6 linked regions of the Macaca fascicularis genome follow. The protein of the gene in region 1 interacts with the protein of each later gene in a pairwise test. Links are inferred from orthologs where the notes say so. Each region holds a gene or a part of one and is shown in the gene's direction. Other genes may lie near its edges. The genes, in order: EMILIN1, ZC2HC1C, BEX3, MTMR9, IFT20 and NMI.

Region 1 (4,195 bases):
TGGGCACCTCCGCAGTGCCTGGCACACAGCATTCTCCTGTCTCCTTTCTGTCTTGTGCTTCCGTTTCTTTCTCCAAAGCATCCCACCACCTGCAGACCCTGGTCAAGCACTGAGGGTCAGGTGGTGACAGGGACCAAGCTTTTAGATCAAGATGGCGCAGGTGGAACTTTCAGGTCAGGCTGACGGCCCTTTGCCTGTCACTGAGAGCTATCAGACTCACCTCCAGACTAGGGACTGACTGCCTCTGCTGCTCTAGAGGTCAGTCCCGATTCACCTCACCCCACCTCCACCCAGTTATGGCCTGACCGTCACCAAAACAAGCCCAGGACCCATTTTCATTTATCCCTTTAAGAAAGGTTCTTCGTCTTCCTGCCCACGTGCCCTCTCCTGCTTGACAGAAGCCTGCTCCCCATTGCTAGGTGCCTTTCTTCCTCTTCTTCTTTTTTTTTTTTTTTTTTTTTTTTTGAGACAGAGTCTCGCTCTGTTGCCTAGGCTGGAGTGCAGTGGCGCGATCTTGGCTCACTGCAACCTCCTCCTCCTGGGTTCAAGCGATTCTCCTGCCTCAGCCTCCTGAGTAGCTGGGATTACAGGCGCACGCCACCACGCCCGACTAATTTTTGTATTTTTAGTAGAGACAGGGTTTCACCGTGTTGGTCAGTCTGGTCTTGAACTCCTGACCTTGTGATCTGCCCGCCTTGGCCTCCCAAAGTGCTGGAATTACAGGCGTAAGCCACCACACCCGGCCCTTTCTTCCTCTTCTGTCGTCTGTGGATTTCCCATCTGCCTCAGTGGAGTAAGGACTCCTTTTCCTTCCTGGCCCACTAGCACATTCTCCTCTCCTCCTTTCTCCCAAGTCACTGACCTGGTATTTAGTGTGTGTTCTCAGCCTTACCACTGATTTGCTGTGTTACCTTGGACAAGTTACTCTCCCACTCTGACCTCAATTTTCACATCTCTAAAAGGAGACTGCTGGACTAGATGGTGAGTGAAGTCCTGCTGAGCTCTCCAAGTTCATTCTCCCTTGTCCAGTCCTTCCATCCTGCCCTCCCCTCTGGGCTCCCTCTCTGGGGCCCTCTCCCCCAGGGGAGGCCTGCTCCAGCCCCAGGGGAGCTGCGACTCTGGCTCCCGTTCCCCGTCGGAGTGACCAGCCCTGGGCCTCCTTCCCAGCTTTGGCCCTGGCTCCATGTGGCCCATCTGAGAGGCTGGCCTCAAGCCCGGCGGCAACTCCACATTTCTGTTTTTCCTTTTTTTTCCCTCTTTCCCGGAGTTAACAAGAAGCAGATGTGGCGCACGATGGTTGGAGAGGTGGGGGGAGGAAGGGGGAGGCAGGACCGCCAGCCAGACAGGGGGGAAGGGAGGGAAGCCAGCAGGGAGGAGGAGGCCAGGGCCCGCCCCACGGCCACTCTCGTGCCTCCCAACAGCCACAGGGGCAAAGCCCTGTCACCCCCAGGATCCGGTCATCAGGGAAAGAGGACAGGGAGACCAGAAGAGGGCCAGCTGGGACGAGGGGGCGGAAGCCCAGGACGCAACTTCTGAGCCGCAGCTCCTGAGAGGGGCAGGGACCAGAGGCCAGAGGGGGCACAGAAAACAAACCCCCTCAGAAGTGAAGAGAAGAGCGGAAGGAACCGAGCAGGGACGGACAGGAGCTGAGGAGGAAAGAGGAGGGGAGAGGGGTCAGGCCAGGCAGCCAAGGAGAAGACGTGTGGACAGGGGCTGCCGGCAGGAAGCCGGGACGGACAGGACGGGCTCGCGCTGTCCTGTGGAGCAGCAGCATCCCTGGGGCCAGCAGAGGAGCCAGTGGCTGGGCGGGATGAGTCTCTGAGGGCCACTGTGGAGCGCCCCACCATGGCCCCCCGCACCCTCTGGAGCTGCTACCTCTGCTGCCTGCTGACCGCAGCTGCGGGGGCCGCCAGCTACCCTCCTCGAGGTTACAGCCTCTACACGGGGTCCGGTGGGGCCCTCAGCCCCGGGGGGCCCCAGGCCCAGAGCGCCCCCCGGCCAGCCAGCCGCCACAGGTAAGAGTCTGGGTCCCAGCCCGAGGCTTGGGTGGTGAAAAGGGGCTCAGAATGCCACCTCCGCCTGGCTCTCTGCCCTGGGCTGTGTCCCCTAATGCAGGGCAGAGGGGGAGTGAGAAGCCCATCCATCAGGTGGCTCCTCACATGCCCACCTTCCCACAGCACCTTTTCCAGGACCCCCTGAACATATATGCTCCCTGGGTCACCTAGGGGGTCTGCTCCCACATGCCCCCATGGGGCCCTGCAGTTATATACCCAGGGAAGCTGCCCTGAGGGGAGCAGGCCAGGCCTTCCTGCAAGCTGCCCTCTGTATCCCAGCCCCAGAGCCTCAGGGAGACCTTTTGTCCCCTTCTAGGGCTCCCTTGGCCCCATCTAGTAATCCATAATTCTGACACCACTCCCGCTCTGTTCCCTCCAGCCCTTCAGCCAGACACAGATCAGAGGCCGGCATGAATGGGGCCAGGAGTATAGAACTGCAAGAGGGGCAGGCTCATCAATGGCTTATTCTCTACTTAACCCCGAGCTGGCCTGCCCATCCTCTCCCGGAGGGGTGGGGTGGAAGCCAGTGTTCAGATCACCCACAGGGCCCAGCCTGGCTGTGCGCACACGGCATGCCAAACTGGGGACTGAGACAGGCCCAGAAAGGGACACACGTGATCGTGTACATTCAGAGGCTCCCCAGGGCCTCACCGCCATGAGGGCTGACTGCTCTGTGGTTGTGGTTTACCATTCTGCACCACTCCCCATCTTGAAAAGTCTTTATCTGCCCCTGCTACACAGGAAAGCGTGGGGGATAGGGAGGGTGGCCCTGCCAAAGTCCTTGCTCTCACTGATCCCCAAGGGCCCTGCATCTTTGGAGCCTTCCTCAGCCCCTCTGGTAGCCCCTGGGCCCTCCTCCAGGACGTGTATCTTTGGTCCTTGGACCCAGAGGGGGTTGTACCTACAGGAACTGGTGTGCCTATGTGGTGACCCGGACAGTGAGCTGTGTCCTTGAGGATGGAGTGGAGACATATGTCAAGTACCAGCCCTGTGCCTGGGGCCAACCCCAGTGTCCCCAAAGCATCATGTGAGTCCCAGGGCCGGGGAATGGGCCCTTGGTGGGAACTGGGTGAGGGCAGATGGTGGGTGGCTGACTCAGGGAGTCTGTACAAAGCAGGGAGCAAGGGCAGGACAGGGTCTAGGGTCGCAGCCATTTTGAGGAGATACTGAGACAACAGTTTGGCTGGTGGGAGACTAAGGGCAAACCTGCCTCACGCGCCAGCCCCAGATGCCTTCTCTGGGATGGCTCAGGCTCAAGCAGAGGAGTTCAAGGTTTCAGCGCAGGGCAAGGGAAGGAAGAGCAGGGATTTAGCCCTTGACCAAAAAGCTGACAGCTGTCAGCTGAGCAAAGCCACATGTTGGACAGTAAGAGGGACCCAGCCTGAGGGACAGGCCATGCCCACCAGCAGCTGCCCACCCCTTGGGACAGGGACCAGGGTCACTAACAATACAGGGAGGAATAAAGAGGCCTCCTTCTGCCTCTGCCAGGTACCGCCGCTTCCTCCGCCCTCGCTACCGTGTGGCCTACAAGACAGTGACCGACATGGAGTGGAGGTGCTGTCAGGGTTACGGGGGCGATGACTGTGCTGAGAGTCCTGCTCCAGCGCTGGGGCCTGCATCTTCCACACCACGGCCCCTGCCCCGGCCTGCCCGTCCCAACCTCTCTGGCTCCAGTGCGGGCAGCCCCCTCAGTGGACTGGGGGGAGAAGGTGAGTGTGGGAGCTGCTTCGAGGGCGGCAAGTGCCAGATGGTGATCCGATGCAATGGGAAATGCGGGGCCAGGCTGCTGGGGGAATCTCCCATGCTCTATGCCAGAAAGAAGAGAGGGGCAGAAGGGAGTTAGTGAGATCGCAGAGATTCCCTGCCCGTGTGTGTGTGTGTGTGTGTGTTTATGTGTGCGCGCGCACGCGCGTGCGTATGTGTGTGTGGGTGTGTGTGTCTCTCTTGGTGTTTGTGTGTGAGACAGCGAGCATGCAAAAGATGGAGAGACAGAAAAAGAAGGCTGAGAAAGAGAAGGTGCTCGCACACGCCCACATGTGGCCAAGATCCTTCAAACAGCTGCAGGAGAAGGGGGCATTCCTTTGAGAAGCTTGGTCCATGGGGACAGACAGTTGAGACTACAAATCCTAGCATGCATTGCA
Region 2 (3,929 bases), on another chromosome or scaffold:
AAAGGGAGAGAAGGAAGAGGAGAGAGAGAGAGAAAGAAAGCCGGTACATCCTGCTGAGGGAAGCTGCGGGAGTTGATAATTGGGACCCTGAGTAGAGTGGGAAACATCTGGAGCTGCATATATGTAGAGGTGGTGCAGGCAACAAGGGATGAAAACGAGGAATTAAAAAAAAAAGAAAAGAAAAGAAAAAGAAAAGAAAAAAAAAGAAGGACTGACCTGGAGGGTCCACCAAGGAATTTCTTTGTAACAGGTAACAGCTGTAATATGACATGTTGAAGTATTAACACTGATGACTGCTTGTCTACATTATTTTCCAAGTGCATGAATTGAGTAGTTACAGGGAAAAAGCGAACTGCCTGTTCCCAACGTCCTACACAGATGAACTGAAGCGAAGAAAAAAAAATAAACTTTCTTTTGATGTCAACAAGTTACAGAGTATCATTTACTGTTGAAACCAGGTTATACTGATTATTTTCGATCTGGTAGTTCTTTATTATCATTACACTTGGCTGAGTCATTCCTACGCCCTAAGTACAGACGGCTAGAGTTACCACGTGAGAGTAAAACATTATAATATCAAAATAATTAGATTGGCCACAAAAATTACCCCGGAAAGATACTGCGTAGCAAAAACGTTGGCAGCAAGTTCCAAAGACTTGGCGACGACAAGCAGGGAGCGCGCACGTGCAGCCATACCTGGGGCCCGCCCAGCGCAGCCAAGCGCGCCGAGAAAGGTCAGCAGCAGCCCCGCTCCCACCAGGCAGGCGGTCGCCTGCACCCTGCGGCGGAAGCACGCGGAGGCACAGCCAGGGCCTCCGCCCTTTGCCAGTGAAGGGCACACCCCAAGGTCTGGGAGCATCGTTCTCAGGAAAGTACAAGTTCTTCTTTGATGGAGCCCCAGAAAAGCCTCTCCCGCCCTTCCTCGGCTCCCCAAGGGCAGGGCTGTACCCGGCTGCAGAGTTGGCCGGACACTGACTGGGTCAAGTGACGGTCGGGCTGACCGCACCCCCCACCCCCGGTCGCCCCGGGTCGCTGGTGCACTGCGCCTGCGCACGCCTCCCCAAGGAGTTCGCAGCGAGGGGCGGAGCTTGGCCCGCCAGTAACTCGGTCTCCAGGCACCGGGAATAACAGAAGCTAGCTGAGAGCGCCTGCGCGGCCGTCGGTTGAGGGGGAGGTCGGGTCTGGGAAACTAGGCCCTGGGGTTTCCCCTGAGCAGGAGCGGTGCCCGAGGGCCTCAGGTACGCAGAAGGGCGGGGAGACAGAGGGTCAGCACCTCCTAAGGGCCCGAAGGGCAGGAGAGAGAGAGGACTTGTCCCCAGAGGCGGAGTCCGTAGTGGGGGCGCCCCAGTTGACCCTTCGGGACAGAACGTGACTTCAGCCTTAAGGATCTAAAACCGGCTGCAGCCAGGTCAGGTGGCCCTCAACGCTCAGGTTACAAAACTTTTACCGTCTGCGCCACGGGGACTCCTGGGATGAGGGTTTGACAGCCAGGCACCTGCTCCAGGCCCTAGCAGCCTCTGTGCTCTTTTGAATCAAGCACGGTTCCAGCAGGAGGGAAGCCCTGAGAGCTCTTTGTGCCAGTCACTACCTCTGGGCCACAGCTTGCTCACCTGTAAAATGGTGAGGATGGACTCGGACGGAACCCTTCAGTTTACAGGTGAAGAAACGGGGGCCAGCAAGGGAGAAGTCGCTTGTCCTGTTACAGGCCTAAAACCTGACTTTCAATCCGATGCTCTTTCCACTTACTGTAGAGTATACTGTGCGTGGCAGAGGCTGGTGCTGGAGGAGAGGAGAGCTAGGTGGCAGGAACACCTGTAGCACCTCCGTTTCTCTACCCTCAGGGCCTAACACAGTGTCTTGTGCATAGTAATCACTCACCAAATGGTTTTTGAAGGGAAGCTTTGGCAGATCCAGCACCACTGTCCCCAGAAAAGTTTAAGGAAATGTGGGCAGGGCAAATGTTGAAATAGTTTGCTTTAGCAGACGAGAGTGAACCTCAGACAAACTCTTCGCATGTATCTGGTTTAAATCTCCCGTAGGCATCAGTCCAGGCCCTGAATGGCTGGTCTCCAGCGGTTGGCATCACATCTGCCTGTGGGCGTTATGCTTCCACATAATACAACAGAAGCTCCAGGGCCCCACTCAGCCAAGCAAGACTCTTACGAACAAAGTGACTCTTCCCAGCAGTCCTTGAAGGGGCACCTGAGGAACAATTTCCAGAAGCAGCTTTTGAGCAACAAAGAGTTGACTCTGGATAAAGTCCACACTCACCCCAAATGGAACACAAAAGCCCGGAGCTACTCCTATCCCCACTGTACTGGAATCAGCCACCAAGATGCAGGAAGTGATTTCCAGGGCCAAGGAAATGGTTTGTTTTACTCATCAGGCCCTCAATCCTGGTATCCCAAAGCCAATAACCAGGACTTTATCCCCTTTACAAAGAAACGAGTTGGAGTGGACCGGGCGTACCCACTGAAACCCGTGGTCCACAGGAAGTCGTGCAGTACAGGTGAGTCTGGCACTGATGGGGACCAGAATGTCTACCCAAGGCCCCCTGAACTGAGAGAGTTTTCATCCAGGAACTTTGATGTGAGGAACCAGGTCAACTTTTCTGTGGTTGATCCTGTTCTTGCTGCCATGCAGGCGGAGAAGGCCTTGGCAAACTTGGACAGGATGGAGTGGGTGCAGATCCAAAGACTAGAAGCTGCAGGGGAGAGCTTAGAGGAGGAAATCCGAAGAAAGCAGATTCTCCTGAGAGGAAAGCTGAAGAAGACAGAGGAGGAACTCAGAAGGATCCAGACGCAAAAGGAACAGGCCAAGGAAAATGAAAACAGAGAGCTACAGAAAATTATATTCCCCAGGAGCAGAGTTAAAGGTAATAACAGCAACACCACGCACAAAGCTGTCTTCTCCCCAGAATTTGATTTTGAGGAAGAATTTAGTAGAGACAGGAGAGAGGATGAAACTTGGGAACGGTCTCAACAAAATTCGAGTCCATTCCAGCTCTCTGATTATAGAATCCAGAGACTCAAAAGGGAAAGGCTGGTAGCAAGCAATAACAAAATTCGAGACCGAGTCTCAGAGCCGTCGATGGAGAAGTTCTCCCCGCCTTCAGAAACACCAGGCGGTGCTTTGCAGGGATCTGCCAGAAATTCCAGCCTGTCCATGGCACCAGACTCCTCAGGTTCCAGCGGCTCCACTGAAGAGCCACAGCTGGGTGAGTGCAGCCACTGTGGGCGAAAATTCCTCTTGTTCAGGCTGGAGAGACACTCCAACATCTGCAGCAGGATGCAGGGTTCCAAGAGGAAAGTGTTTGACTCCTCCAGGGCCCGGGCTAAGGGCACAGAACTAGAGCAATACTTGAACTGGAAGGGGCCAGCTTCAGCCAAGGTAACAAGAGCCTTATGGATGTGACTTGGTGTGGGGATCATTGTAGGGGTCTGTTTTGTCATCATCAGTTTTCTTTAGGGAAAATTCATGTGTCATGTAGGAAGAATTGACGTCTAGAATTAACATTTCTTGATTACTACTGTATGCCAGCATTGTGATGGGAGCTTTGCATGTGATCCTCGCATTTATCTCTCATTTTATCAGTTCAAAAATCAAGACTTGGACAGGCTAAGTAACTTGCTTGAGGTCACAAACAGCTTTAAGTGGCAGAGTCAGCATATAAATCTTGGTTAGAATGACTAAAAAATCTAGACTAAGAATTTGTGTCCTTTGGATTATAAAAGTAATAAAAGTTTACTGTAGAAAATTCAAAAGACACAAAAAATCGAAAGAAAAAAAATGCAGGCTTTTGTCACCTGGAGAGAACGCCTCACTCTTTGCAATGTATTCTGCCACCTCCCAAGACTAGAATCTGTGAGCATTCCTTTAACTATGTAGTCTGTTAAGATTAGCTCAGTGTTGGCCGGCGCGGTGGCTCA
Region 3 (3,219 bases), on another chromosome or scaffold:
CCGGCTATTTTTTTTGTATTTTTAGTAGAGATGGGGTTTCACCATGTTAGCCAGGATGGTCTCGATCTCCTCACCTCGTGATCCGCCCGCCTTGGCCTCCCAAAGTGCTGGATTACAAGCGTGAGCCACCACGCCCGGCCAAAAATAAAATTTTAAACGAGCTAGTATGTATCAAAAGTAATGGTTTGATGTTGTGTGGAGCCCAGAGAAAATATTTCGTGTGGCACAAGTCAACATAAACAATGACAGAGATTTCATTCTGCAGGATAAAGCATTTCCTTTTTTTTTTTTCTTTTCGTTTTTTTTTTGACAGGTTCTCGCACTGTTGCCCAGGCTAGAGTGGTGTGATCCCGGCTCACTGCAACCTCCGCCTCTCGGGTTCAAGCGATTCTCCTGCCTCAGCCTCCCGAGTAGCTGGGATTACAGGCGCCCACCACCACGCCCAGCTAATTTTTGTATTTTCAGTAGAGACGGGGTCTCACCATGTTGGCCAGGCTGGTCTCGCACTACTGGCCTCAAGTGATCCGCCCGCCTCGGCCTCCCAAAGTGCTGGGATTACAGGTACGCCACCGCACCTGGCCAGCATTTCTTTCAAAATTAAAAACTTATAATTTATAATTTTCGGAAGCATGCAGATTTTTTAAGGAAATAAAAAGAAATATATACAGCCCACTCCACTTCCTTGCCCCTCTTTCTGACAAGTGCCCTCCTGCCTCACCACCTTAGCCATCACTCTAAATTTTCTAGAATGGTAGGACTTCAGGGGCTACGTGGGCATTGATGGCTGTGCACACGCAAGGGGCAGGAGTGGGAGTGCAGCGCAAAGCATGTTGCCAGGTAGAAGAGGAGAGAAAGCAGAAAAGGCCAAAACCAAGGCCTGAAGTGAGAGGGGGCGGTGGTGGATGATGCAGACCCTCCCTGGTAACCAGAGGAGGGCAAACTCCAACCGCAGAGCAGTGATGCCACTTGTGGGCCCTCAGATTGGAGAGGACCGAGAAGAGTGACAGGGCTGTGCGCTCTGGGGCACTTCACGCAGACGGGAGTAGGGAGGCTGTTTTTTGCGCGTGCATATGGCGGTGGGGGGGAAGGGGGATCCTGCTGCACTGGCCGCCCAAGTTGGGGGGCGAGCTCGGTGGTGACGCGCGGCCCTCACGTGACCCAGAGCTGCAGAGCGACGCAGCCTTCGGTGCAGTCGTCACTCGCGTCTGTCTACCAGCTCCCCGCTGCCCTGAGCTCGGCGGGCTGGCATCCGGCCCGGGAAAAAGCGGAGCAGGTAAGGGCCCCGGGGCCCGCGCGCCCCGGCCATGCCAGCAGCGGCTGACCGACCCCGGCAACGGGCGCAGAACAGCGCAGGGGTCCCCGCCAGTTTTCTCCACACTCCAACATGCTTGGGAACATAGAGGCCCCCAAGGGTGGGGAAGCAGGGGCGGCTGGGTTTCCAGGGGCGGCAGAGCCACCAAGAGCGATGGAAAACCACCCCCGAGTCCCTGCAGGAAAACGGGGAACACCGCGGGGGCCGGGGCGGCCGAGGGTGGGGTGGGAGCGGGGGGTGGGAGACGCGGGGCGCTGGCGCGAGGGGAGCCCGGGCCCAGGGCAGGGAAAGGGCCGGCGGCGGCTGGTCCTCTCTAGCGTGTCGCTGCAGCAGCCCCCACTCCCCCCACCCCGGCCCGACTGCAGGTCTGCGAGGCTAAGTGTCCCCGCGGCGCACCTAGCAGCGAGAATCCGGAGGAGGAGGAAACTGCAAGGATAGGCCCAGGTCGGTTCGAGGGACGGTGGTGGGGCGGGGGTCGGAACGTGAGGAAAGCCCAGTCTGAGACCCCAACCCCCTCCACCCCATCCCCCACTCCTATACCGGTCCTCCATTTTGGTGCCTGCGAAGCTCTGGGAAAGAATCCTGGGAAAGGAAAAATGGTGGGTTTGGGGGAAGGGAGGTAAGGGGAGAAAGCTGGAGGGAGGGGCTCTAATTGGAGGCCCCCTAGAGGACGCACGGAACTTCCAACTTGGGAAAAAATGAAATGAAAAAATCCTTTGATATCAGGGTTCTGAATCCTGCTGGTCAGTGCACCAAGCATTCAGTCTCTCTCCTTGCCTTTGTCTTACTTGTGTTCAAAGAAAAACAACCAGAAAAAAAATCTCATCATGGCAAATATTCACCAGGAAAACGAAGAGATGGAGCAGCCTATGCAGAATGGAGAGGAAGACCGCCCTTTGGGAGGAGGTGAAGGCCACCAGCCTGCAGGAAATCGACGGGGACAGGCGCGCCGACTTGCCCCTAATTTTCGATGGGCCATACCCAATAGGCAGATCAATGATGGGATGGGTGGAGATGGAGATGATATGGAAATATTCATGGAGGAGATGAGAGAAATCAGGAGAAAACTTAGGGAGCTGCAGTTGAGGAATTGTCTGCGTATCCTTATGGGGGAGCTCTCTAATCACCATGACCATCATGATGAATTTTGCCTTATGCCTTGACTCCTGCCATTTATCATGAGATTAATACTGTGATTCCCGCTGTTTTCTTTTTCCTTGCATTTTCCTAATATGCCTTTACTGATCCGTTTGCTGTGAACCCTGTTATTTCCATGTGTCAAGTGGGTCTTGTGTTGCCAGCTTCTATTTGGAAATTGCCTTTGCACTCAGTCTAAGTTTCTGTCAGCAGTAGTTTCACCCATTTGCATGGAAAAATTTAAAGCTAATAAAGCAATTTAAAAAGCAATCTATACATTTATTGTCTCATTAAAAATGTATACTTACATATAACAGATGAACTAAAAAAAATCTGAGATTAAATACACTAGAGTGTTAATTGGGGCACATTTCTGTGTGATAAGTAATCCCAGCAGTTTGGGAGGCTGAGGTAGGCGGATCACGAGGTCAGCAGATCGAGACCATCCTGGCTAACACGGAGAAACCCTGTCTCTACTGAAAAAAAAAATACAAAAAATTAGCCGGTCATGGTGGCACACGCCTGTAGTCCCAGCTACTCGGGAGGCCGAGGCAGGAGAATGGCTTGAACCCAGAAGGCAGAGGTTGCAGTGAGCCGAGATCACGTCGCTGCACTCCAGCCTGGGCGACAGAGCATGACTCAGTCAAAAAAAAAAAAAAAATGATATGTGACATTTTTTCCTTTTATTTTCTGGAGTTTGAGAAGCAATGAAAATTATTTTTCAATGAGATTATGAATGTAGTGCAGATACATAACAATACTGGCTCAAC
Region 4 (4,146 bases), on another chromosome or scaffold:
CAAGGAAAGTTGGTAGGCATTTACCTATCTCACTTACGACAGTTCTAAAAAGTGTTTTATTTTAAGAAGGGAACATGTTAAGAAGGGCAAAATCAAAAGCATGGACAAGTGTTGGATGAGCTGATGAGGTTGTGGCAATTTACTTCGTGAATACTGTGAGATTTTGTCCTGTGCTTCGGTACTAGATGGTGAGGATTTAAAAGGTCAATGAAGTCACAGCAGACCAGCACTCAAACATATTTCTCTTCTATTTCCTATTTTTGAATAAAAATGTCAGTTTCAAGTGGGCGGTGGGAAAGGAACACGCAAAGGAGTAATTATTTGAATACATTTTTGGCGCAACGTGGGTGTCTGACGCTGAGGCTGTGCAGTGGTGACCAATGCACCCATGCGCTGGGTTTCACAGGTGCAGATCGAAGTCCATGCTCTGCTGCAGATTGACTGGGTGGCCGCCATCAACTCAAGTGACTTACTCTTCTGTGCATCGCATCTACATCTATTTGGGTTCCTCTCACAGGTATTCCTGTCTTGCTCCAGGTCACACTTCGTGGCGCGGCCCTCACGGGGAGTCAGTGGCGTGGCCCTGTGTCCCTCCCTGACCCCTGGAGGATTCCCTAAGGTCACAGTCACCGCCTCATCCCATACTTGCCATCTCTTCAGGGCTAATGCATAACAATTGTCACAATTTACAGCAGCCCCACGCTCTGAAGAGCTTCTGGAGGGGGTACTACTCAAGCGGAGGGAGACAAGACAGGGACCTCCTCCCATCGTCCCCTCTTAACGGGCCTCTTCTGATAAGGAATATTTGTAGATGGGTGAGAAGGGCAGCGGGAGGGCGTGAAGGTAAAGACAAGTTTTTTTTTTCTCGTAGGAACCCAAATCTTCTGGTCTGGCTGTGTTTCCGGAGGCATTTCCAGAGGACCTAGAGAGGACCGACTTCCGGCTGCGACTTCCGCGTCTTCCGAGTTTGGAGACCTGCTGCTTCCGCCCGGAGTTGCTGTGGGCTCCAGCTGCGAGCAGCCACTTCCGCCAGGAGTCCCTAGCGGCCAGGGCGTGGAGGTGGGTCCTGAAGCGGCTTCGTCCTACTGCCCGCCGCGTGCCCACGCGGGACACGAAGCCCAGCGGCAGCGGCGGTCCCTGGGCCTGTGGAGAGGCGTTCTCTGTGGCCGAGTCCTGGGCCTGGGAGACGGGGCGGTGCGGGAGAGGCGCCCGGGCCTAGCCCAGCCCCAGCGCCTGTCTCCTTGCCGCTGGTGCCGGCGGCTGCAGGCCTCGCCGCGCCCGCCCAGCCTGGGGCGGGCCCAGCCTCACCGCCCGGCCCGCCCCGCCCCAAGGGCCAGCCCCGCGCCGGGTGTTTCCGCTCCTCTCCCTGCGGCGGGATAACCGCCTCGCACCTGCCGGGCTCGGTTCCCTGGCTCCGGCCGCGGGGGGAGCATGGAGTTTGCGGAGCTGATTAAGACCCCGCGGGTGGACAATGTGGTGCTGCATCGGCCTTTCTACCCGGCTGTCGAGGGCACCCTGTGCCTGACGGGCCACCACTTGATCCTGTCCTCCCGGCAGGACAACACGGAGGAGCTGTGGCTCCTTCATTCAAACATCGACGCCATCGACAAGCGGTGAGTGCCTGCCCCACCCCAGCTCCGCAGGGAGCCGGGGATCCCCTGTGGGCGCCCCGGGAAACACTTCCTGGCGTTTTCCGCGCATCCTGCCGCCCAGCTGGCCGGCAGGATGAGCCCTCTGTGGCCTAGAATCAGGATTTACCTGGCAGAAACCCGTCCAGATGGAGGATCCGGTTTCCATTAAACCTGGATGGAGTTCTCAGGGTTATCGTGTGGCTGGTATCATCCTGATGATCTGGTTCGTAACACCATTTGGGTGGATTTTCGGCATTGTCTTTATAAATTTCTTCTTCTTGCCCCATCGTATTCCTTGAATCGGTATTGTCAATCACAGTTCATGAAGTTGTGATTGGATGTGACTTAGGCAAGTGTTTACCATTTTTGAGGAAAATTCAACTGATTATAAAGTTATGAGTGCCTACATGCCTCAGAACCATTTTTTAATTTCTGAAATATGTTCAGTTTATTATGTTTCTTACCTTCTGGGTCATCAATTTCATTCTCACTAGGGGAGGTTCTGTTGTCTTCTCTTCATCTTTACTCAGTTCTGCTTGCTGAAAGAACAGGGTTGGCTCTCAAGGAAAGGCATGGACCAATTAACCTCTTTTTCCTTTTTGTACTCCAGACTATCTTTCCAAGGCAGTGCCTCGAAGTCAAAAAGTTATACTTTAATCTGCAGTCAAAATTTCCATCTCCTTAGTGGCTTCTCTCTAGCCAGGAGAGGGCAAACTGATCATCCAGTTTACACGGAAGTAGAAATGAATGACGACAACGTTTTCTATTGCCTCACAGGATAATTTGGATTTTAGGAAGATTCCTAGAGAGGATATGCCTTAAAATAATAATTTCTTTTTTTTTTTGAGACGGAATCTCACTATGTTGCCCAGGCTGGAGTACAGTGGCCAATCTCACTATGTTGCCCATGTTGGAGTGCAGTGGCAAATCCCGAGTAGCTGGGATTACAGGTGTCCACCGGTACACCCGGCTAATTTTTGTATTTTTTAGTAGAGATGGGGTTTCACCATATTGGCCAGGCTGGTCTCGAACTCCTGACCTCGCAATCCTCCTGCCTTGCCCTCCCACAGTTCTGGGATTGCAGGCGTGAGCCACCGTGCCCGGCCTAAAATAATAATTTCTAATGGTAGAATTGCAGGAAGTTTGGGTGAAGCAGCGGTAGATTGATTGATTTGAGCAGGGGGCTCGTATTAGTCTCCTCAAGTCACCTTTTGCTGTATAAAGTCTTCAGTGGGCCCGGCGCAGTGGCTCACGCCTGTAATCCCAGCACTTTGGGAGGCCAAGGCGGGCGGATCACCTGAGGTCAGGAGTTTGAGACCAGCCTGACCAACATGTTGAAACCCCATCTCTGCTAAAAATACAAAAAATTAACCGGGCGTGGTGGCAGGCGCCTGTAATCCCAGCTACTCAGCTACTCAGGAGGCTGCGGTGGAAGAATCGCTTGAACCTTGAGACAGAGGTTGCAGTGAGCCGAGATCGCGCCACTGCACTCCTTCCTTTGCAACAAGAGCAAAACTCCATCTCAAAAAAAAAAAAAAAGTCTTCAGTGGTCTCTCATTGAAAATCTAAACCCCTCACAGTCATTCATGGCATTCTGTGTCCCAGCCCTAGCCTACTTTCTCACTTTATTTCTTGCCATTTCTTTCAATGAGCCCTTCTTGCACTTCCTTTCATGAACCTTTTTACCAGCCAGTCCTCACCATTTACTGGTGCTGGTATATGTCCTGTATTCCGTCATCTGTGTATTTTATTGACTTCTTCCTTCTGCTGGAATGCCTTGCCTCTCCCAAGTTTGTTAAACATTTGCCAAATGCCTTTATGTTCTGGACATTTTGTGAGGCACTTAAGACACCAAGATGAATAAAATATATCACAGTTCTTGTCTTTCAGGAGTTCACATGGCAATGAGCCTGTTACCCGTCTATGAGTATTCAGTTTAACCATTTCGACCGCTACCTCCTTCACAGATTCTTCTGTTAATTCCACAACTGGAATTCATTTTTATCTCCTTCGAAACTTCTAACTGTGGCTTGGGCATATAGACACATAGGAAATAAAAGAAGGATTGACCGCTGAATGGTTCAGTGACGCCATTGAATACAAATGAGTAGTCTCTCCGTGACCATCAACTGCCTTTCCTTTCTTATTTACCTTTTATTGTGTTTACTTTTCGCTCATTCCTTTCCTCCTGTTTACCTTGCGTTTACAAGGTGCTGGGCTTTGTAGTGCATGAAGAAGAAGCAGATGAGCCATGGACCTTTGAATCTGTTGGGAGAGAATGACGAACTGTGCACACATTTATCTTTCTCCTGGGAAGCAGTGTGGTGTAGTGGAAAGAGCATAGGGGAGGCATCACATCAGAGTTTGTTCAATTGCTGCTTTCAAGAAATCTTCACATCCACCCGTTTTCCATGTGTGCTGTCTAGCTGTGCGGCTGCGGTGGTGACTAAGACAAGCTGCTTAGGTACTGGCCGGGGAGATGGACAATCAAGCAAGTCCAGGAATAAATACGTAT
Region 5 (4,110 bases), on another chromosome or scaffold:
GCTGAGGTGGGTGGATCACGAGGTCAGGAGTTTAAGACCAGCCATGGCCAACATGGTGAAACCCCGTCTCTACTAAAAATACAAAAATTAGCTGGGCAAGGTGTCAGGCGCCTATAATCCCAGCTACTCAGGAGGCCGAGGCAGGAGAATTGCTTGAACCCAGGAGGTGGAGGTTGTAGTGAGCCGAGATCATGCCACTGCACTCTAGCCTGGACAATGGAGTAAGACTCCTTCTCAAAACAACAACGACAACAACAATAACAACAACAACAAAAGATCCAGAAGTTCTGGAAACAGTGAGACTTGATTATTTTCGAACCATTGCTCCTCTTGTGGCACACCTGCCCTAGACAGCCACCCCCAGAATCACCCCATTCAGAACAGGACTTCTCTAAGGAAGCCACGAGGGAAACAGCTGAGGCTGGGGGCAGTGAGGGTAGAGGGAAGAGGCTGGTGCAGGTCCAAGTGATGGTAGACTTTGGAGCACCTGGGTTTTAGAATTGGCATAGCAGCTAATTGCTAGATGTAACTAGCATTGCCTCCCTTTTTAAACAGGTCATATGATGTCTATTTTTAATTTTGTGTGTGTGTGTGCGTGTGTGTGTGTTTGAGCCAGAACGAGGGTGAGTTTTCAGTATTTCCTTCCCAGAATTGAGGCATCCTTTGGAACAGAAATGCAAGGTGGCTTGGAAAGGGAGAAGATATCTTTGTTAGTTCTCTGTTGCCTACAGAAAAAATCGTAACTCCTTAGCTTGGCATACGGGTCTTCCTGGTCTGGCTCCAGCTCACCTTTTCAGCTCCATCCTTTTTCCTTTCATCCTTAGGCGGGGTAGGTCCTTTCAGTGACTTCAGGCCTTTGTCCATGCTGTTTTCTCTGCTTGGAATACCTATCCCTGGCCTGCTGCCTTGATACGTTCTTGCTGATACTTCATTCCTTTTTGTGTTTTCTGCTAGAAAGAGAATAACCCAACTTTGATTCCCAATTCAGGCAAGCATACATTTTGAGTAATATTCTTACTCCTGACTTTGTATTTTTTAACCATAATTTTTAATTCACCCAGATTTCTTTTATTTGGTTTGTGTGTTGTTCCAGTATGTGTATTTGAGAAGCCTTCTCATGTGCTTTTGGGTACATAACTGGTGATATATAAAGTAAATACACTTATGGCTCACAACTTAGTTCAGATGTCACTCCTTCTTTAACGGCTCTATCCTCCTCTGGCTCTTTACTGATATTTCTAAACAAGCATTTAACACAGTGTGATTTTTCAGTTTCCGTGTCTGTCTTCCTCCAGCTGAACTATGTGTCTTCAGGGCGGGCACCGTGTTGCATTCATCTTTGTACCCCCAGCATCTAGCAGTGTTGGCATGTAGTAGGCACTCAAGAAATGTGTGTTGAATGAACGATGCCTGTGACAAGTAAGCGGACTTTATTCTTTCCTGACCCTTGCTCCTATGACACACCTCCTCCTGACTGCCACTGTCACTCCTTCAGAGCAGAACTCCTCTAGGAAGTCTGGATGGGAAACAGGTGAGGCTCAGAGAGGTGGTGGCAGAGGGAATGGGGAGCCTTTGGAACATCTGGGTTTTTGGCATTGGTGTCCAAGGGCAGGAACAGGGCTGGCTTGGCAGCAGGCATTTCATTGGGTGGCTAGGAAGTGATGAGGAATTGGGCTGGTTTCTTTGCAGCCATGGCCAAGGACATCCTGGGTGAAGCAGGGCTGCACTTTGATGAACTGAACAAGCTGCGGGTGTTGGACCCAGAGGTTACCCAGCAGACCATAGAGCTGAAGGAAGAGTGCAAAGACTTTGTGGACAGTGAGTATTGGGGAGATACCGTGTCACTCAGCTTTGAGCTGCCATTCCAACTGTACCCCAGGCTCATCTTGGCCCTGCCACAGTGGAGCTGCTGGCTCCCTGGAGGTCGAATCTGGCATCTGTGAGTTCCCATGTGCCACCCTTCTCTGCCTGCCCTCGTGCTCTCATGTGTCCCCAGCAGAGCACCAGTCAAACCAAACACTGGGATGGGGAGGGTGTTTTTAGAGATGCCATCTTTCATTTCTTGCTCTTAGAAACCTTAAACTTTCTGGGAACATAACCATGGCTTGGGGGTGAGAAATAGAATTATGTACTCCTGATTTGATTTCTTTAGAGGAAGTCTTCTTAGTGGCAGGTTCTCTGTTATTTGGAGTTAGAAGTGATAAGTGAAGTTTCTAGAAGCAGCTCAACAGACTTACTGAAGTCATCTTTTGGCTAGAAATCTTCAGGAAGCCTCCTGTCCCAGCAGCCAAGTAAGCCCAATGCATTCAGTACAGAGCCCTATCTAGCTAGAGCAAGGGATTTCTGAGCTTTCTGGGGGCTTCCTAGGTTGTGGAGAGAGCTTGATTAGTGAAAGGTAGCTTGGGTTCTGTCACTAACCTTCTGTGATTGATGTGCCATGCACACACCTCTCTGGGCCTTAGTTTTCCCTCAGTAAGTTGTGTTTCCGTCACATCCAGGACATTGGAGAAAGTGAACAGGAGATTAGGCACTTAATGCTGTGAGCTCTCTATTTTCTGTGGTTACAAGTGGGAAGCCCCCATCCCCACTGTTAATTGAAATCTGGTGTCATACCCGTAGCTAGTCCAGAGGCAGCGCTTGTGTCCTGAGGCTGCCCTTTTGTGAACAACAGTGCTTCCTGTCATTCCTGGGGAAGCAGGTTGGGGTCTGTCTGGAGGATGAGCCCAGCAAGGGCCTAGTGCTTTCATAGCCTGAGATCATAGCAGCTGGTTGGCTCAGTGGGGACACAAGGTCCGGGTATGTCCTGGTCCAGCTGGCCACCCTTCTCTAGGTTCAGACCAAGGGTAGGAGACAGGCCAATAGGCACCAAAGTGTTTAAGTGACAGGGTCTCGCTATGTTCCCCAGGCTGGAATGCAGTGGCAGTTCACAGGCATGATCACACATCCTCTAACTCCTGGGTTCAAGTGATCCTCCCACCTCAGCCTCCTGAGTAGCTGGGACTACAGGTGCTCACCACCATGCCTGGCTCACACCAAACTATTTTGACACAAATTAGAAGGGGCAGTCAGCTCTGCCCTCGCACTGCCTCAGCACTCTTACTGAAGGGCAGTGATGAGACTGAGGAAATATTTTATTTTTTGTTCTTTTTCTGAAAGAAATTGGCCAGTTTCAGAAAATAGTTGGTGGTTTAATTGAGCTTGTTGATCAACTTGCAAAAGAAGCAGAAAATGAAAAGATGAAGGTAAGATCAGCATGTCTTCTGCCTACGTCTTGGCCTGGGACCCTAGTTTACTACCCTCTCATCTTTCTTCCCTCTTGATTTGTTTAGAGGGGTGGGTGGGTGAGTTTTCATTTAAGATTTTAAGGCCGGGCGCGGTGGCTCAAGCCTGTAATCCCAGCACTTTGGGAGGCCGAGACGGGCGGATCACGAGGTCAGGAGATCGAGACCATCCTGGCTAACATGGTGAAACCCCGTCTCTACTAAAAAATACAAAAAACTAGCTGGGCGAGGTGGCAGGCGCCTGTAGTCCCAGCTACTCGGGAGGCTGAGGCAGGAGAATGGCGTAAACCTGGGAGGCGGAGCTTGCAGTGAGCTGAGATCCAGCCACTGCACCCCAGCCTGGGCGACAGAGCGAGACTCCGTCTCAAAAAAAAAAAAAAAAAAAAAAGATTTTAATAACTTCTAGTCCACTTAACCTACTGAACTTACGCCAGTCTTTATTTCCTTTAATCTTTTTTTTTTTTTTTTTTGGAGACAGAGTCACCCAGGCTGGAGTGCAGTGGCGCAATCTCACTGCAACCTCCACCTCTCAGGTTCAAGAGATTCTCCCACCTCAGCCTCCCAAGTAGCTGGGACTACAGGTGTGCACCAACACACCCAGATTACTTTTTTGTATTTTTTTTTTTTGAGATGGAGTTTCCTCTCGTTGCCCAGGCTGGAGTGCAAGGGTGCGATCTTGGCTCACTGCAACCTCCGCCTCCAGGGTTCAAGTGATTCTCCTGCCTTAGCCTCCCGGGTAGCTAGGATTACAGGCACGCGCCACCACGCCTGGCTAATTTTGTATTTTTAGTAGAGACAGGGTTTCTCCATGTTGGTCAGGCTGGTCTCG
Region 6 (3,960 bases), on another chromosome or scaffold:
AAGATCAGCCTAGGAAACACAGTTAGATACCTGCCTGCAGCCCCCAAATTAAAAGTACAAAAAAATCTGGGTGCGGTCGTGAATTCCTGTAATCCCAGCTACTTGGGAGTGGAAGTGGGAGGACTGCTTTGAGCTCAGGAGTTGGAGACTGGGCAACAGAGCAAGACTTATCTCAAAAAAAAAAAAAAAAAAAAAAAAAGGAAAAAGAAATGTCACCACTTTAAACTGGTTCCCATCTTTTTGATATACAGAAAATTCGCTTTTGTTAATCTGTTAGTTTAGACAACTATATCAGTTATTATATGTGACTAGGAAGCATGATAACCTAGAATTTATGCCTTGAAATCGTTTTGATTCATTTTCTTTCCACATCTGTATTTATCAACAGGGGCAGCTGTGGGGTGGTTCTTTGTGTGGGATTAAGAGACACTGCAGTTCTTGAAATAAAGCAGATGTTTGAATTTTCAAAGGAAAAGTTCACACCTAGTGAAGGATTTATTTACAAGCTCCACAACAAAACAAGAGATTTTAAGAAAACTTTCAAGGGACACGGGTCATAGAAACCAACAGGAACACCACAGCTTTCCCAACTTCATGGCCCCGGGGATGTTACCAAAGACACAGAAACGCCGATCTTGTGCTGGCTGTAAAAATTTATAAACTAGTGCTACAATGACTAAGAAATTACAAGAGTTACAATCTGAAGAGCGATTCCTGCTTTGACTTTGTTTGGTTTCTATCCACTTTTCCTACATGCCTTGTAAAATACATGCAAAAACTGGTTTTAGAAAACATTCCCTAAAATTAGTGTGTACAGAAACTTCAGGGATACTTCTGCTTTTCTCCGCAAAACCACCCCTTTTTAAAAATCGAAAGTGAAATTAGTTCTAACTTTTTTTTTTCTGTTAGTGACTCATCATCATGGGAGACACCAGATTTAGTATTTGAGCAGTGGTTAAGTGCTAAAGAAAAATCGCCGTTAAAGCAGTTTTCTTTTTCACTTTTTCCTTTCGCAGGGACCTGAGCTGTTCCTGCGAGGCCCACCTCCTCAGAACTACACCCCAGTTCTTCCGAGGCGCTACTGCAGGAGGCAGTACCAGTTACGACAGCCCGGCCCTTCCCCTCCCAGTGCCTCCGGGGGTTCCGGCGTCCCGGGCGCTGCTGTTTTCCGGGAAGAGCGGGCGCGCTGGGCCTCGGCGAGCTGCGCTCGGCGGGCGGACGCGGGTGAGTGGGGAGTCCGTTTCCCGGCTGCCACTCCCGCCGCTGGCATTCCCGGGCTGGAGAGCGGGGGTGGAAAGGGAGGCGGGGGACCTCAGCGCCGACGGGAGTGGGACAGCGCCACGGTTGAGATCCTGCTCCCGGGAGCTTCCCGCAGGCGGGTTGCAGAGGCCACGCCGCCTTCGAGGGGGCGCACCTGCTCCTGGGCCCGCTGTGTAGTCTCTGGGCCGTCAGGGCTTCCAGCCCTGTCACTTGTTTGCTTTGCTTCATTCAGGAAATTGAAACATAAAGTTATTTGTGTTTCCTCGCTGTTTTCTCGAAGTTTCTCTAGAGATAGTTCTTCGGAAAATGGATTTCTTTTTTTTCTTTTTTTTTTTTTTGAGACGGAGTTTCACTCTTGTTGCCCAGGCTGGAGTGCAATGGCGCGATCTCAGCTCACAGCAACCTCCGCTTCCTCAGCTCAAGTGATTCTCCTGCCTCAGCCTCCCAAGTAGCTAGGATTGCAGGAAAATGGATTTCTTAAGAAAACGGTTCTTGGCAGGGGCAGTGTTGTGCGTTCATGGCTGGCATTTCAGAATAGGCAAGGTTTTTCTTGAAGGAGACATCCTAAGGAGAATACTATGTTTCCAGTCTGTACAACAGGCAGGCGCTCTATTGCCTTTCTTTCTTTTTGCTGCCGGGCATGCATATAGGAAGATTCGATTCTACACGGCCTGGCACCGCAGTGATATGACTATACTTAGGGAAATACGGTGATGGTGATTTGTATTAGTTTTTTTTTTTTTATTCGCTGCCATAACAAATTACATGGATTTAGTGGCTTAAACACATAGGAACGCGCGCGCGCACACATACATACACACACTCTCACACACACAATTTACTATCTTAGGATTCCGTAGCAGTCCTACCGAGGTCTCACCGGGTTAAAATCAAAGGCAGGGTTGCCTTCCTTTCTGGAAGCTCTTGGGGTGAATCCCCTTTCCATCTTCCGGAGGTCACCTACCTCATTTGGCTCAGTAGCCCTTCCTCCATCTGCAGGGCCAGCAACTTTGCACCTCTGAGAGTTCTGGGTTCACATCGCACTCTTGACTCTCTTCTGTCTTCCGCTTTCACTTTTAAGTATCTTCATGATTACAGTGGGCCCCCACAGGTAATCCAGGATTCTCTCCATATTTAAAAGCAAGCTGATTAGCAACCTTAATTCAATCTGCAGCCTTCATTCGCATTTGCAATGTAAACAAACGTAATCACAGATTCTTGGGATTAGGATGTGGACATCTTTGAGGGAGCCATTGTTTTGCCTACTACATGATTGCATAAAAGGAATGACCATACATCCCACTCATGCGTAGAGCAAAAGTATCCAGACGGTAAAGATGCCAAAAGCGTTCTTGGGGTGTTAGACAGTAGGCCATTTATGCTGAGAACCTTTATTACAGGCTCTTAGGAAGATTGGCATTGTCACAATAATAAAGATAAAAAGCAACTAAATAACATTGCAGTTTGTGTCTTCTGAAATGTAATGAGGACTTCATATGCACTTGACGTCCTGAGTCCAACAAATACTGAAGATCCCACATAATTATCTAAATTGAGTGTTTTCAGTGTGTAAGCTTATACTGAGAAAGTGCTCTGAAGGTCTGCAGGGAGGAGTAGACATGGTCCCAGCCCTCAACATCTTTACTGACGTGTCATGGAAAATGACACAGGTACACACATAATTAAAGTGCCACAAAAGAGACAAAGGAGGCGGAGTAACATCCTTTAGGGGAATCAGAAAAGGCTTTGGGAACTTGGGGAAAATTTGGAATGGACCTTGAAGAAGAGTAAGATTTCATTAGATGGAGATTAAGGTTAGGAGAGGAGGAAGGATGTGACAGTTTGAGGGACAGAGGAAAGAAAAGGAACTATGCACGTGTTCAGTGTGGTTAGGGAACTGGGTTGAGGAATTGACTAAATAAGACTGGAAAGTGAGTTGGAGTTAGAATGCAGCAGACCATGGCTGACCATTAGGAAGATTTTGCAGTTGATACAATAGCGATATATATGTATGCTCTGTGTGTGTGTGTATGTGTCAGAGATAGAGAGAGACGTGGTTTAAATATATATATGTATATATGTGTGTGTATATATGTGTGTGTGTATATATATATATCGTCTCAAACCATCTCAAACTTACAGAAAAGTTGCAGGTACAGTAAAACAACTTTTCCTTTTCCTAAATTATTTAAGAATAAATTTCCAATCTGGTGACCTATCATCTTTCATTATATAATTGAGTATATATTTCCTACAAAAAAGATGTGCTCCAACGTAACCACAATACCGTCATCAAAATCAGGAGTGTGGAGTGCTACCTTACTACAATTTAATAATCAGATCCAATGTGAATTTCACCAGTTGTCCTGATAATGTCTTGGATAGTGTAGGGGTCAAGGGAAAACTTCCTCTTTGCTCTCTGAAGGGCAAAGGCAGATTAAATAGGAGAAATGGCATACACATTTATTAATGTGCACAGGGGAAAAAATCACATAGTGATTGTACTGCACAATGGGGTACAGATGGTTATATTCCCTACTTTTTAGGGGAAAGGGAGATGGGGAATCGTGGATGATTATAGGGGGTTAGTAAATGATTTCTAAGGGAATTCAAGGGAATCGAAGAACACACAATGGCCTTGTACAAAGCCTGTTGGGCTTGCAGAGCAGACAGTGGTTGTAACACGTATCTGTCCAGGTT

What was found.
Region 2: the proteins of EMILIN1 (region 1) and ZC2HC1C interact in binary tests that used the Homo sapiens proteins (3 or more experiments, as listed by UniProt). The two-hybrid records come from large-scale screens. The link is inferred for Macaca fascicularis from reciprocal best matches to the Homo sapiens genes EMILIN1 and ZC2HC1C.
Region 3: the proteins of EMILIN1 (region 1) and BEX3 interact in binary tests that used the Homo sapiens proteins (3 or more experiments, as listed by UniProt). The two-hybrid records come from large-scale screens. The link is inferred for Macaca fascicularis from reciprocal best matches to the Homo sapiens genes EMILIN1 and BEX3.
Region 4: the proteins of EMILIN1 (region 1) and MTMR9 interact in binary tests that used the Homo sapiens proteins (3 or more experiments, as listed by UniProt). The link is inferred for Macaca fascicularis from reciprocal best matches to the Homo sapiens genes EMILIN1 and MTMR9.
Region 5: the proteins of EMILIN1 (region 1) and IFT20 interact in binary tests that used the Homo sapiens proteins (3 or more experiments, as listed by UniProt). The two-hybrid records come from large-scale screens. The link is inferred for Macaca fascicularis from reciprocal best matches to the Homo sapiens genes EMILIN1 and IFT20.
Region 6: the proteins of EMILIN1 (region 1) and NMI interact in binary tests that used the Homo sapiens proteins (3 or more experiments, as listed by UniProt). The two-hybrid records come from large-scale screens. The link is inferred for Macaca fascicularis from reciprocal best matches to the Homo sapiens genes EMILIN1 and NMI.

What each region holds. Positions count from the first base shown.
Region 1 is NC_088387.1:95,156,457-95,160,651, reverse strand, and holds the start of EMILIN1 (EMILIN-1), read left to right. Parts: upstream 1-1,395; 5' UTR 1,396-1,845; coding exon 1,846-2,015; intron 2,016-2,961; coding exon 2,962-3,081; intron 3,082-3,542; coding exon 3,543-3,763; intron 3,764-4,195. UniProt on the Homo sapiens protein: Involved in elastic and collagen fibers formation. It is required for EFEMP2 deposition into the extracellular matrix, and collagen network assembly and cross-linking via protein-lysine 6-oxidase/LOX activity.
Region 2 is NC_088381.1:143,018,294-143,022,222, forward strand, and holds the start of ZC2HC1C (zinc finger C2HC domain-containing protein 1C), read left to right. Parts: upstream 1-1,129; 5' UTR 1,130-2,058; coding exon 2,059-3,390; intron 3,391-3,929. Other genes in the region: ACYP1 (acylphosphatase-1), read right to left, coding at 217-383, 608-859.
Region 3 is NC_088395.1:109,756,187-109,759,405, forward strand, and holds BEX3 (protein BEX3), read left to right. Parts: upstream 1-1,197; 5' UTR 1,198-1,273; intron 1,274-1,677; exon of another isoform or gene 1,678-1,756; intron 1,757-2,112; 5' UTR 2,113-2,139; coding exon 2,140-2,475; 3' UTR 2,476-2,719; downstream 2,720-3,219. UniProt on the Homo sapiens protein: May be a signaling adapter molecule involved in NGFR/p75NTR-mediated apoptosis induced by NGF. Plays a role in zinc-triggered neuronal death.
Region 4 is NC_088382.1:9,627,640-9,631,785, reverse strand, and holds the start of MTMR9 (myotubularin-related protein 9), read left to right. Parts: upstream 1-1,346; 5' UTR 1,347-1,431; coding exon 1,432-1,613; intron 1,614-4,146. UniProt on the Homo sapiens protein: Acts as an adapter for myotubularin-related phosphatases. Increases lipid phosphatase MTMR6 catalytic activity, specifically towards phosphatidylinositol 3,5-bisphosphate and MTMR6 binding affinity for phosphorylated phosphatidylinositols.
Region 5 is NC_088390.1:33,791,542-33,795,651, reverse strand, and holds the start of IFT20 (intraflagellar transport protein 20 homolog), read left to right. Parts: upstream 1-1,310; 5' UTR 1,311-1,406; coding exon of another isoform or gene 1,407-1,419; 5' UTR 1,420-1,455; coding exon 1,456-1,531; intron 1,532-1,689; coding exon 1,690-1,818; intron 1,819-3,156; coding exon 3,157-3,242; intron 3,243-4,110. UniProt on the Homo sapiens protein: Part of intraflagellar transport (IFT) particles involved in ciliary process assembly. May play a role in the trafficking of ciliary membrane proteins from the Golgi complex to the cilium.
Region 6 is NC_088386.1:46,844,477-46,848,436, reverse strand, and holds the start of NMI (N-myc-interactor), read left to right. Parts: upstream 1-1,160; 5' UTR 1,161-1,224; intron 1,225-3,960. UniProt on the Homo sapiens protein: Acts as a signaling pathway regulator involved in innate immune system response.